Linked DNA regions of Neurospora crassa OR74A. The protein of the gene in region 2 binds, or shares a complex with, the protein of the main gene of each other region. Links are inferred from orthologs where the notes say so. Each region holds a gene or a part of one and is shown on either strand. Other genes may lie near its edges.

The links.
Region 1: NCU08296 (region 2) and NCU03827 share a complex: the UniProt entries of both Saccharomyces cerevisiae proteins name them as parts of the mitochondrial small ribosomal subunit. The link is inferred for Neurospora crassa OR74A from reciprocal best matches to the Saccharomyces cerevisiae genes NAM9 and MRPS9.
Region 3: NCU08296 (region 2) and NCU02951 share a complex: the UniProt entries of both Saccharomyces cerevisiae proteins name them as parts of the mitochondrial small ribosomal subunit. The link is inferred for Neurospora crassa OR74A from reciprocal best matches to the Saccharomyces cerevisiae genes NAM9 and MRPS8.

The regions. Positions count from the first base shown.
Region 1 is NC_026505.1:2,536,272-2,540,019, reverse strand, and holds the start of NCU03827 (mitochondrial 37S ribosomal protein MRPS9), read right to left. Parts: upstream 2,423-3,748; 5' UTR 1,791-2,422; coding exon 935-1,790; intron 808-934; coding exon 716-807; 3' UTR 1-715. Other genes in the region: NCU03826 (elongation factor 1 gamma domain-containing protein), read left to right, coding at 2,654-2,683, 2,779-2,965, 3,234-3,282, 3,340-3,748. UniProt on the Saccharomyces cerevisiae protein: Component of the mitochondrial ribosome (mitoribosome), a dedicated translation machinery responsible for the synthesis of mitochondrial genome-encoded proteins, including at least some of the essential transmembrane subunits of the mitochondrial respiratory chain.
Region 2 is NC_026504.1:2,502,260-2,506,007, forward strand, and holds NCU08296 (mito ribosomal protein S4), read right to left. Parts: upstream 2,403-3,748; 5' UTR 2,214-2,402; coding exon 2,169-2,213; intron 1,981-2,168; coding exon 1,501-1,980; intron 1,399-1,500; coding exon 562-1,398; 3' UTR 18-561; downstream 1-17. Other genes in the region: NCU08295 (RNA-binding La domain-containing protein), read left to right, coding at 3,329-3,592, 3,657-3,748. UniProt on the Saccharomyces cerevisiae protein: Component of the mitochondrial ribosome (mitoribosome), a dedicated translation machinery responsible for the synthesis of mitochondrial genome-encoded proteins, including at least some of the essential transmembrane subunits of the mitochondrial respiratory chain.
Region 3 is NC_026501.1:8,605,689-8,609,155, forward strand, and holds NCU02951 (mitochondrial 37S ribosomal protein MRPS8), read right to left. Parts: upstream 2,345-3,467; 5' UTR 1,910-2,344; intron 1,814-1,909; 5' UTR 1,554-1,813; coding exon 1,068-1,553; 3' UTR 615-1,067; downstream 1-614. Other genes in the region: NCU02952 (hypothetical protein), read left to right, coding at 1-351; NCU02950 (hypothetical protein), read left to right, coding at 2,944-2,981, 3,059-3,225, 3,293-3,467. UniProt on the Saccharomyces cerevisiae protein: Component of the mitochondrial ribosome (mitoribosome), a dedicated translation machinery responsible for the synthesis of mitochondrial genome-encoded proteins, including at least some of the essential transmembrane subunits of the mitochondrial respiratory chain.

The DNA.
Region 1 (3,748 bases), on a different chromosome or scaffold from region 2:
AGGGCCCTCGGGCGAGGATGCTGAACACGGATTGCACTCTGCCGCCACGGGAACGGAATCTGAAGTTCAGAAAACGCGGTTCTGACAGCGCGGCTAACCCACGTGTGCCCTGCAGTGCGTATCGTTCCCACCTAATCTGTGAGATGGGAGTTGTTCGGCATGCCTCTTACACATTGGATGTAACCCCCGGATGGTTCATGACTTGTAGTCGCACGAATCAGTCAACCCATCACAAGCAAAACCCATGTCAAAGTTGCAGTGATGCCGGTTGAAGAGGCCGGGCGTCGAATCGGTTTGCATACCTTTTTTTTCCATGGCAAAAAGAACCGTTGTAACCCCCCCAGCACACACATAGATTGTATTATACACACACAACAAGGTCGTGCCGGCCCCCCCCTAACACGGTTTGTTGAACCCCTCCTGTACAAGTACACGCGTGCTTGCCTGAGATCGACCTGTGCTGAACTTGGTAGGCCCAGGCGAGGCCACAAGCGAGACGGACACTCACATGCATATCCACATATAGAGTACGCACATGAGAGAAAATGCTTCCCAGAAAGAAAGGAGCTGTGATGCTGCGCTGGTGGGGAAAAAAAGCATCGCTCCATTTGACTGGTCGTTCGTGCATAAACCGAAACTGAGGCAGCATATTCACAATGCCCCCCCAAAAAACGAAACCCATCCAATAATACCGCAAACTGTAGCAGGAGGGCGATTATCTCTTGACCCAGGTAGGCATCTTTCTGGCCTTGACATGGCCGTGTTTCTTTCTTTCGACCTTCCTCGGGTCGCGTGTGACACATCCGGCTACAGTAAAAGAAAGAGGGACTTGTTAGCAAAGGTGCATCATCCCTACCTACCATACCGCGAAAGCCTGTATGGCGAGGCACAATCATAGAAAACCAAAACATGTGTAATGTAGTGCGAAGCTTACCCCTTCTTAACGCCGGCTTCAGAGCAGGCTCATGAGCCAGCAAGGCCTTTGCGATAGCCAGCGTAATGGCCTCCGCCTGACCCGTGGTACCACCACCCTCCACCTTGACCCAGACGTTGTACTTGTCAATGCGATTTGTTGCGCGCAAAGCCCAAACAGCGCTCTCGCGATCGTGAACCCGCCCAAAGTACTCGGCCAAGGTCTTCCCGTTGACCAGAACCTCGCCGGTACCCTCCACCACGAAGGCCCGAGCACTCGAGGCCTTTCTCTTGCCGACTCCACAAGCGCGGCCAAACTGGTCAATCGGGATCGGCTTGGCGACATTTGTAAAGGGTTGTACGTTGCGCCTGAAGCTGTCGAGCACATCCTTGATCTCTTGTGGCTTAAGGTCGGGGTGGATCGAGTTGAGCCGTTTGACGAGAGCCAGACACCTTGCGAACTCGGATGCCTTGACCTGCTCGCCGAGCTCTTTCCTGATATCCTCGAGCGTCTTCCAGGCCACGCGCTCGACGGCGGTCGCGGGGATGACAGGAAGGTCTTCGTACTCCTCCATGAGCTTTTCTAGGGAAAGATAGTTGTCGTAGAACCGGGGCGTCCGGGTGAAGTACGAGGGCGACACGGGGACGGCACGGGCATAGGGATGGAGTTTGAAGTTGTCTATGCTGAGCGCAGGGGCGGCGATGAATTGGCCATCTACGTTCGGGTTGTGGTCGTGGGCGTGGGTGGACAGGGACCTCGAGCTGATGCGCAAAGCGCCGAATTGCTGGTCAAGCGACTGCCATTGCGCCGACTTGGAACAGCCCTGGCGGGAGCTCCGAAGAGCACTGGTAATGCTGTGTCTAAGAGATGCCATCATTCATAAGCGGCTGTTCACCTCTCGTACATTATCGGGCCCCGAGGGCTACTGGATCGGGAGAGGAGTGGGATTGGGGTTCGGGTCGAGGTGTGGTCGGCTCGCCGATGGGTATCTTTGGGGCTGTCGGGGGCGAGGGCAGGTCCAGCGCGGGCAGTGGTCAATCAGGTCCGGACTCCGGGTCCCGTCTGCGCGTCGTGGGCCGTCCCGCGGCGGAACAATTCGCAAGAGGATTTTTCCACCCGGCAAGCGGAAAATGGGAGCTCGGACCACCCATGCTTCCCACTCAAGCACCGCACTCACTGGACCCGACCTCACCTGGGCTCCCGTCACCTTCCCCTCCACGCATGCGGCCCCGACAGGGGGACCATTCCGCCCGGCAGGCAGATAAGACAAGATGCCCGGCAATCAAGCGGCACCGTTTTCCATGGGCTGGAAGCCTGGCAGCCATCAAGGCATGGCACGAGGGAACTGAAAGCACAGACAGCGGAAGTGTGAATCACTGGCCGAAAGCATACCTCGCTAGGTACCATCAATGGAATCCCATCTGGGCAGCCTTCCACAGCCGCCAACGGGCCGGCGGGCGGTTAAGGTACTGAGCTCTCTCATGCATTCTGTCGAGTTCCAGCGCTGTGAGGTTCTGATGTGAGGGGAAGCAACCCAGCCGCCAAAACGGGATGCAGGCTCAGCAGCCAGGCAATTTCCCCGCCACTGCCGTGGCCGCGCGCATGCCCCACCACAGATAAAATTTCCTCTGTGTCTTCCCATCCACATCATCCATCGCACAGATCCCTTTTTATTTGCTTCCCCGTCACCCCTCTTCTTCCCAAACCCATCTTTCCTCATCATTGATCAAATTATCAAAGATGGCCTTCGGAAAGCTTTACACCTACGAGGTAAGATGAGCAGAATTCAGAGATTGCGGCGCTCGTCTTGACACGGCGGGCGCCTGCGGACGAGCGCCGACATTCTAACAGATTCTGCTCACTAGGCGAACCCCCGCTCCACGGCCATCTTGGCTGTCGCGAAGGCCAACAACCTCGACCTCGAGGTTATCAAGGTCGACCTTGAGGCTGCCATCGAGGAGTACAAGAAGGTCAACCCTCTCGGCAAGGTCCCCACCTTCGTTGGTGCCGACGGCTACACTCTCTTCGAGTGCATCGCCATCGCCATCTATGGTACGTTGACAGAATATGTTGGGCGTCAAGCAAGACTGCCCTGCCCCGCACTTTGAAACACGCATCAACTTTGCGCCAGATACCCTCTGATGTGCTAGCGCACAACCCCTTGCCCCTTCGACCTGATGACCGAGACATTTTTCAAACAGTTATCCCTATCTGAAATACGGTGTTGACTTGGTTCTAACTTCTGACTGTCGAACTCACTCTTTGTCCTCCTGCAATTGCCACGTATCTTGATTGGACAGTCATGGCTAACGGACAACAGTCGCTTCCCAGAACGAGAAGACCACTCTCCTCGGCAAGACCAAGCAGGAGTAAGTTTATGATCGAGCATCCAAACCTGTGCAATCACTTGCTAACGCGTGGTTCAGCTATGCCTCCATCCTGAAGTGGCTCTCTTTCTTCAACACCGAGGTCCTTCCCCCTCTTGCTGGCTGGTACCGCCCTCTCCTTGGCAAGGCTCCCTACAACAAGAAGGCTGTTGAGGACGCTCAGGCTACTGCCCTCAAGGCCATCTCTGTCGCCGAGGCCCACCTCAAGAACAACACCTTCCTCGTTGGCGAGCGCATCACCCTTGCCGATCTCTTCGCCACTGGCATCATTGCCCGCGGCTTCGAGTTCTTCTTCGACAAGGCCTGGCGCGAGCAGTACCCCAACGTCACCCGTTGGTACACCACTGTCTACAACCAGCCCATCTACTCGGCCGTTGCTCCTCCCTTCGCTCTCCTTGATACCCCCAAGTTGACCAACGTCGCCCCCAAGAAGGCTGAGGCCCCCAAG
Region 2 (3,748 bases):
AGACCGTAGGTGTCTCGGTGGTTCTCATCTGTCTCATGACTTTCTTACGCAAAGAAGAAGGAAATTTGTCTATGCCCCTCTTTATATCCATTTAGTTAATAGTGGTAATGATACATGTAGCGTACATCGATGCCGAAGGGGGCGAACTGAATGAGTCTGCAACAGATTGTTCGGGTATTGAGGAACGAACAAACTGTTACGCGCAATGTGCCCAAAATACGTATGAAGTCAACTCATCTCATGCATGATCCATCCCCGTCTCCTTTTTCTCCGGGAATCGCGAGATTTGCCGCCCACTTCGCAGCTTTCTCATCGAGACCGAACCCGATTTCCAACGCATGGTCCAACTGAAGCCGCAGCAGGTGCAGAGTATCACATCATCCGAGGTTGCCTTGAAGATGCAACAAGCACAATAGAGCGTACCCGCGACATGCAAAAAACTGGGTGCGCGCGACTCTAATCGTCCATTGGCGAATTCTACCGCTCTGAGACGGCAGAGAGTGACTGCCGTTCCTCCCTCCATCTCCCCTTTTCATTCCCTCGCTCCTAACTAGACCTCCTTTAACCTCTCCGTAAGTACCAGTTGAACGCGAGTTGGTTGATAGTGGGGGAGAAAGGCGACGGTACTTCGGACTCGCCCGGGCGCGCCACGGGGTGGCGGAGGTAGACGGCCGCGCAGATGTTCTGGTTGACCTCAAGGTAGCGGGGGATGAACGCGAAAGCGGACATGTAGTTGCGCGGCCTCCAGGGGGTCATGTACGGCTTGCTCGGGTCGATCTCGTTGTCCTCGTGCTCGTCGTTGTACTCGATCACCTTCTTGAGCACCTGGCGCGACTGCTTGTCAAGCTTCTTGCTCAGCTCCTTGGCCGCCTCCTCCTGCTGAATGGCCTTGGAAGGGGAGACCGCAAGGCGCTCGAGAAGCATCGTCAGGTCGTCCACCACGTTACCGGTTGGCGAAACGGACCCGTCGCGCCGCTGCGCTTGCTTGATGGCGGCCTTGATGTCGCGCTTCAAAGCGCGCAATGCTTGCTTGCGCGTCGCGGAGAGCTGGTGAGACGGCGAGTCGGCGATGTGCTTGGCGTACTGCAGCAGACGTTGGAGCTGCAGGAGTTCGTACTTGCGGTTCCAGGCCTCGTCGAACTTGGAGGTGTCGACTTGCTTCTCCTTCTTGCCGGACTTGGAGGCTGCTTCTTGTGCCTCTCCTTCCTCGGCCTCCTCGGCCTCCGCATCCTTCTCTTCGGCGGCTTCCTGTGCTTCCTCCGCAAGCTCCTTCTTGGCGGCCTTCATAGCCGCGGCGAGGAGCTTCTTGTCCTTGGGCGCACCGGTCGCATAGAGGACGCGCTCGACGTCGACTTGGAAGAGATCGCCAGGGTTCAGGAGGTAACCGGGGTGTTTCATCTGCAAAAGGATCGGGTAATGTTAGCGCCGAAACAAGCAGCTTTGGCATGGGTGCACTGTATTGTGGGATTCGGTATTGGAACGTTGTGATGGTGTACATGCCTTCTTGCCGTTGACGGTGACGGCACCGTGCACAACCATCTGGCGGGCCTGTCTCGCACTGCTGGCAAAGAGGGCTCTGAATATGGCGATATCGAGGCGTCTCTCGAGAGGCGCAAAGGTCATTTGCTCGTACGGCGTGGGAACCTTCCTGCCCGGGTTGGCGATGACTTGCTTGGCAGGTTTCTCGTCGGCGGTCTTCTCGTAGGCTGGGGGCTCTGAGAGGCCGGAACCGCGGCCGGCGGCTTGTTCGCTGCCGTTATATTTGGCCATGTATGCCGGGTCCATGTTGACGACGGCCGGTAGGCGACGGCTAAACATGCGCGCCCATTTGCGTTCCTTGATGTGCTCGCCGTGGTATGCTCGTGTCAAGGACTTGGCGAGCCATTTCTGCTGGAAGAATGTCTTGCCGCTGATTCTGGGTTCTCTCCCGGCCGTAGCCAGGTTGTACAGGTTATATTTGTTCCATGTCGGCCTGATGGGCTATTCGGAAGAAGAAGAAGCGCACACAAAATACGTCAGCATGATCGCGTGTGGTGGGTGTTGAGTGTCGTGGCAATGGGACTGGCAGGTAGTAGGTAATGGGGCGAATGGGGTGATGATGCGGCGGCGGCGACGATGACCAACGGCAAACCCGGCGACGGCGGCATAAAACACCGAATAGCACATACCTTTTTCTTCAAACTGTGGTACTTGAACAACCTCCGGATCTTCATGTTGGGTGTGGTGTGTTTGGAGGAGCTTCGGGGGATCGGATCGGACTGTAGGCCCCGTGCTTTTGGCGAAGTGGACGGACCGGTTCGGCGCAGGTTGTTTGGAGATTGTCGAGTCCGGAGCGGTCCGGGGCACCTAGCAGCACTGCCAACGAGGGGAGCTTCCCGGGGCCCTTCCACCTCTTATCGGGCGCCGTCCTCCGAAAATTATTTCAGACCCGAATTGGAGCACGCGCTCGCCCATTGGTCGCATTCACGTGAGAAGCTCGGGCCACTGTGCGCGTCAACTCCAGGCCGGATGGTGGAGAACTGGCAGGCACAGGATGCGGGAGCTAGAGCGCATGCGGTATAGCTCCGCAACCTCTTGGCGGATTGCGGGTGCAAGTGGAGTGGGGCTAGAAGCAGAGCCAGGCGGTAGAAATCGGCACAAAAAGTCTAAACCCAAAGGCGGTTCCCTTGGACCTGGGTGGGGCTGATTTGGTTGCTTGCTTGGTTTCGCCGCTTCCATTTTTTTGCGCTGAGGGGGAGGTTTTGACAAGTGCAGTCCTCGATATGACTCCAATGCCGACAGACCCTGGAAAAAGTCAGGGCAGATGGGTTACGCTGCTGTATGATGATGGAGGGAGGGAGCTCAGTAATGGATGGACAAGACTGAATCAAACTCTCGATCTTTGACAAGGGAATTGAAGTGTGTGTTACAGTTCAGAATTATCGAGGTCCTACCTGACTTACACTACGTGACTACCTCTACACTTCACACACGTCCTGGGATTTGCTGGTGAATGGCCGACTTTCCTGTCGCGTCGATCAACAATCAACCCTGCACCAACCCAACACCATTCCCCCACTGCACCCTGCAATAACATTTTGCGCCTACCGCCCCAAAACTGGAGTGCACCTGAAGGACCCACTAAATAATTTCGTCGTTTTGCCTGCTTGGTCCCCGGTCTCCAGTGCACTTTCTGCATTTTCATCATCCGTTCACCATTATCTCTCTCCCGGCCATCTACATCCATTCTTCTCTTCCGTGCACGCGCGTCACGTTAGACGGTCAATTGCCTTTACAGCCGCTTGTACTTTACCCTTTCAAATACCTACAGGCCACTCCGACCTTCATCATGAGCGATACCACCGCCAACACTGAGGCTGCGCCTGCCGTCGAGAATGTTCAGACCGAGGTCCAAACCGAGACTGTAGAGGCCCCCGTCGCGGAGGCTGCCCCCGCCGCCGAGGAGGCTCCCAAGACTGAGGATGCCAGCAAGGAGGAGGAGAAGAAGCCTGAGGCTACCAAGTCTATCGACCGCGCCGACTACAAGAACAACAGGAAATACGATCCTTCGACCCAGCCCGTCACTGACGATCCCGTCAAGATCCGCAACCAGGTACGATCAGACTACAAAAACAGTTGGCATGCTGCGTGTCCCCGTGTCTAACAAATAGTCTTAGGTCGAGTTCTACTTCAGCGACAGCAACCTCCCTACCGATAAGTTCATGTGGGAGACGACCGGAGGCGTGGAGAACAAGCCCGTTTCGCTCAA
Region 3 (3,467 bases), on a different chromosome or scaffold from region 2:
GCCACGCCCGGACCTGCCGCGAAGAGAAGTCTCAGCAAGCCACGGACCAAAAAACCTGCCACTAAATCTGCAGCACCATCTGCGGCTACGACACCGAAACAGTCTCGTGCTGGTTCAGCTGCGGCCAAGGCTGAGCCGGTTCCCAAGGCAGAAGAAGCTGTTGAGGTGCCCCTCCCCACTGTGACGGAGACTCCTCAAGAAGTTGCTCAGCCGGTAGAGGAAGCCACGGAAGCTCCCCAAACCCCCACTTCTGACGTTCATGTTGTTAAGGAGGAGATGCCAGCCCAGGAGACTGAAGCCGCCCCCTCGTCCGCTGCCGAGGTTGTTGATACCACCGATGCTGACATCTAGGAGCACGGCGAGGAGAAGTCTGCCAGCACTTCGGAATTTAAGCACACTTCTGATTCGTAAAAGGAAGCCAGAAATGGTGGATGTGATCGCTTTTTGGCCTGTAGAGTCTTTTTTAATCACCCCTATTACTTGTTCGAGACAGTGAAAGAGGGGGATGCAGTGTTACTGGGTTAGCACATTTCATGATACCTTTGTAGAAAGACCAATCACACATTTGTAAGAAAGTTGGCGAAGCATGAAGTATGAATGCATAGCAGATAGTGGGTTGTACAGCACCCTGGAGCAGGATGAATCGATCCCTTTTCTTATCAATCTTGGTGATATCTGTTTCCACGGTGAGTGCTGATGATTTAGTTGTCATGCATAGATCATAGCATACAGGATGCCAGCTCGTTGTCTTTCTTGGCCTCATACCTCATATTCACATAGCAAGAACCAAGGATGAGCTCTGCTTTGCCAATGTCTATTCCTTTCCATGTTTGTCCAGTCTTGCTAAGTCGTCTAGTGTACAATGGAATCACATCCGTATCGTACACTGCGCACAGAAATGGTTGGCTCCAGTTCAGGTTTGAGATCCTCCCAAAGTGCGGTGACTCTTCCTCCTCTTCTTCTATTCCTCTCGCTTCCTTCCCAACAATGCCTTCCTTTCACCGAATTCATGTCCTATCCCCACCGTCCATCCTTGAGACCCTCCTCCTTCTTCTTCTTCTACCCATCTATTTTACCTTGCACAAAACCAGCCCACCAACTTTCCTCTCCACTGCCTCCCTAACCTCCAACACACCTCTATCAGTGTTCACAAACAAACACTCGCCCAACTGCAACCCCTTCATGTATCCCGCGGGAAAGCCCCTCGCCACACGGTTCAGCTGTTCCAGGGAGGCAGTCACCAGCCTCGACGGCTTCGAAATCGGCTTCAGCTCCTTCAAGACGGGTTCCTCGTTCCAGTACTTGAGTCCCACCCACAACCGGCGCGTGGCCACGTTGGCACTGGTCACGGGCTCGGGCTCGTAGGTCATGAGGGCCTCGGGCGTGGGCGGGTGAGGACCGCCCCGCGTGATGGAGGAGATGAAGCCTGCGCGGTGCAGGGCCAGGGCCAGGGCGAGGTTGTACTTGGTGTTGGGCAGGGAGGTCAGGCCCAGGCGAGCGCGCGAGGCGTTTTGGAGGTGCGAGCACATGTTGGTGATTTGTTGAATGCCCATTTTGAAGGTTTGATGATGCCCGTGTGGGACTTTTGTGTTGCTGAAGAGAGAGAGAGAAAATGGTATGCACTGGGTGATGGGTTATAAAGAGAGAGAAGTCGGCCGTCGTCGCGTAAGTCGTCGGGTCGATCGGCTGGTATGGCTTGGTCCGTCCGGTGTAGAAGTGCTCGGGAGATGCGGCGGCGAACTGGGGACCTTGCGGGATGAAGAGAAGGATGATGCGGGATGAAGAGAAGGATGATGCGGGTGAGGAATCGGTGCTGCAGCGACGGGGCGTCTTGAGGTTAGTCTAGGCGTGCCGATGAAGATTCGCGGGACAGAAAAAAAAAAAAAAAAAAAGGAAGATTGCAACGCACAACCAATCGGGAGACCGTAGCTGTTGCGCACAGTCGGGTGGCCGTCACGGGTCGGTGGTCGTGATGGAGGAATTCGGACTTCGGAGGAGCCGTAAAAACAAGTGGAGGTTTCGGGACTCGCGAATGCGGCGCGCAACGGGGTCCGGATGCGAATTGCGGTTTCGAGGTCTCGATCGGGATGGCTCCGTTAGGTAAGTTGTGCTGCCGATTTTTTGTCCCCCTGCTGCTCTGTCCGCTTCTGCCGTACGGCACTACGTACGGGCTGGCGGGCGTGCGTGCGTTTGCTTGGCCGCCGGGGCCGTGTGGAGGACGGACAGGGATGGTTCGAGAAAAGACCTCAGGCTGAGCGTTGAAAGAGTGAATGACCTCGGGCAATGACCTCCACTGTGCCTTGCACGAAAGTCACTGCAAAAGAGACCCCTGCTGCCCTGAAAGGCCTCCCGTCCCTCCGCCAGAGAGACCAGAAGGTGTCTGTCCGGTGGGGCTTTCTTGGTAGCTCTCCAGGTTTATTGAGGATGGATCCTGCTTACCCCACCTTTTTTCTTGTCTTTCCCTCCCGCTCCTTTCCCTCCTCGTCAATTGTGAAAGAAGGACTGGAGAGTGTGACAATTGACTTGCTCGTGCTTCTTTCTTGGCATCCCACCTTAAGCGCCCAGGCGGACCATCCAGTGACCATCCAGGACGATGCAACCACCAGGCAAGGTCACCTCTACCGGCACTAGGGGTCGCATCACCGACCTATCGTGCGCGCTGGTTGGATGGCTGTGTGCTGATTGCGCCATGGAGTGAGAGCCGAATGTGAAGAACCAGACCACGGTCTCCTGCAAGGGTATGTAAGAGGTAGGGTACTATCGCAAAGACGCGGAAGCCGAGTGGCTTTTGTTTTCTTTGGGTTCCGTCATCTCTGATATTAGGCGTGATAGCCCTCGGGTGGGAAGCTGAGAAAGTTTGCTGTCTTTCAGTTCTCTCAATCCTTTTTACCGTTGTTGTGTTGTTGTGTTTGTTCACTCAAGCGAGTTCGTTGATCACAAAAGATGGCCGCCCGTGAGGGAGAGGAGAACGTCGGCACGTTGTAAGTTTGTCTTCCGTTGATCCCATAAAGAGGTGATAGTTCCTGGGCGCATTCTGACTGATTGATTCGCTGCATAGCTTTGGTGATATTCACTACTTCTACGGCCCTCCAACAAATAACCCGCCTCATCACAGGTTCGACAAGGGCTCCTATGTATACCTTTTCGAAGATGCCAACTTGGGCCGCGCACGGCTGGAGATTGCGAACCAACCTGGAAGGGAAGACCAGGATGCTTTCGATGGCTGTAAGCATTAGGATTTAGAGTGAGAGCTCGAGACGACAGTGGGAAGGCTAACATCATGTGTCGCCAGACCTCGACAAAACCCATCTCGAGTACGATTACAACCACACCTGCCTTGTAACTTTGACGGTTGGCGAGGTCGAGGGCTACGAGGAGTGGCATCTACCAACATACGACCCTCACAATCAGGCCAAGTACCATTACAAGCTTCACTCGCTCGACATTTACTTTCACAACCATCAAGA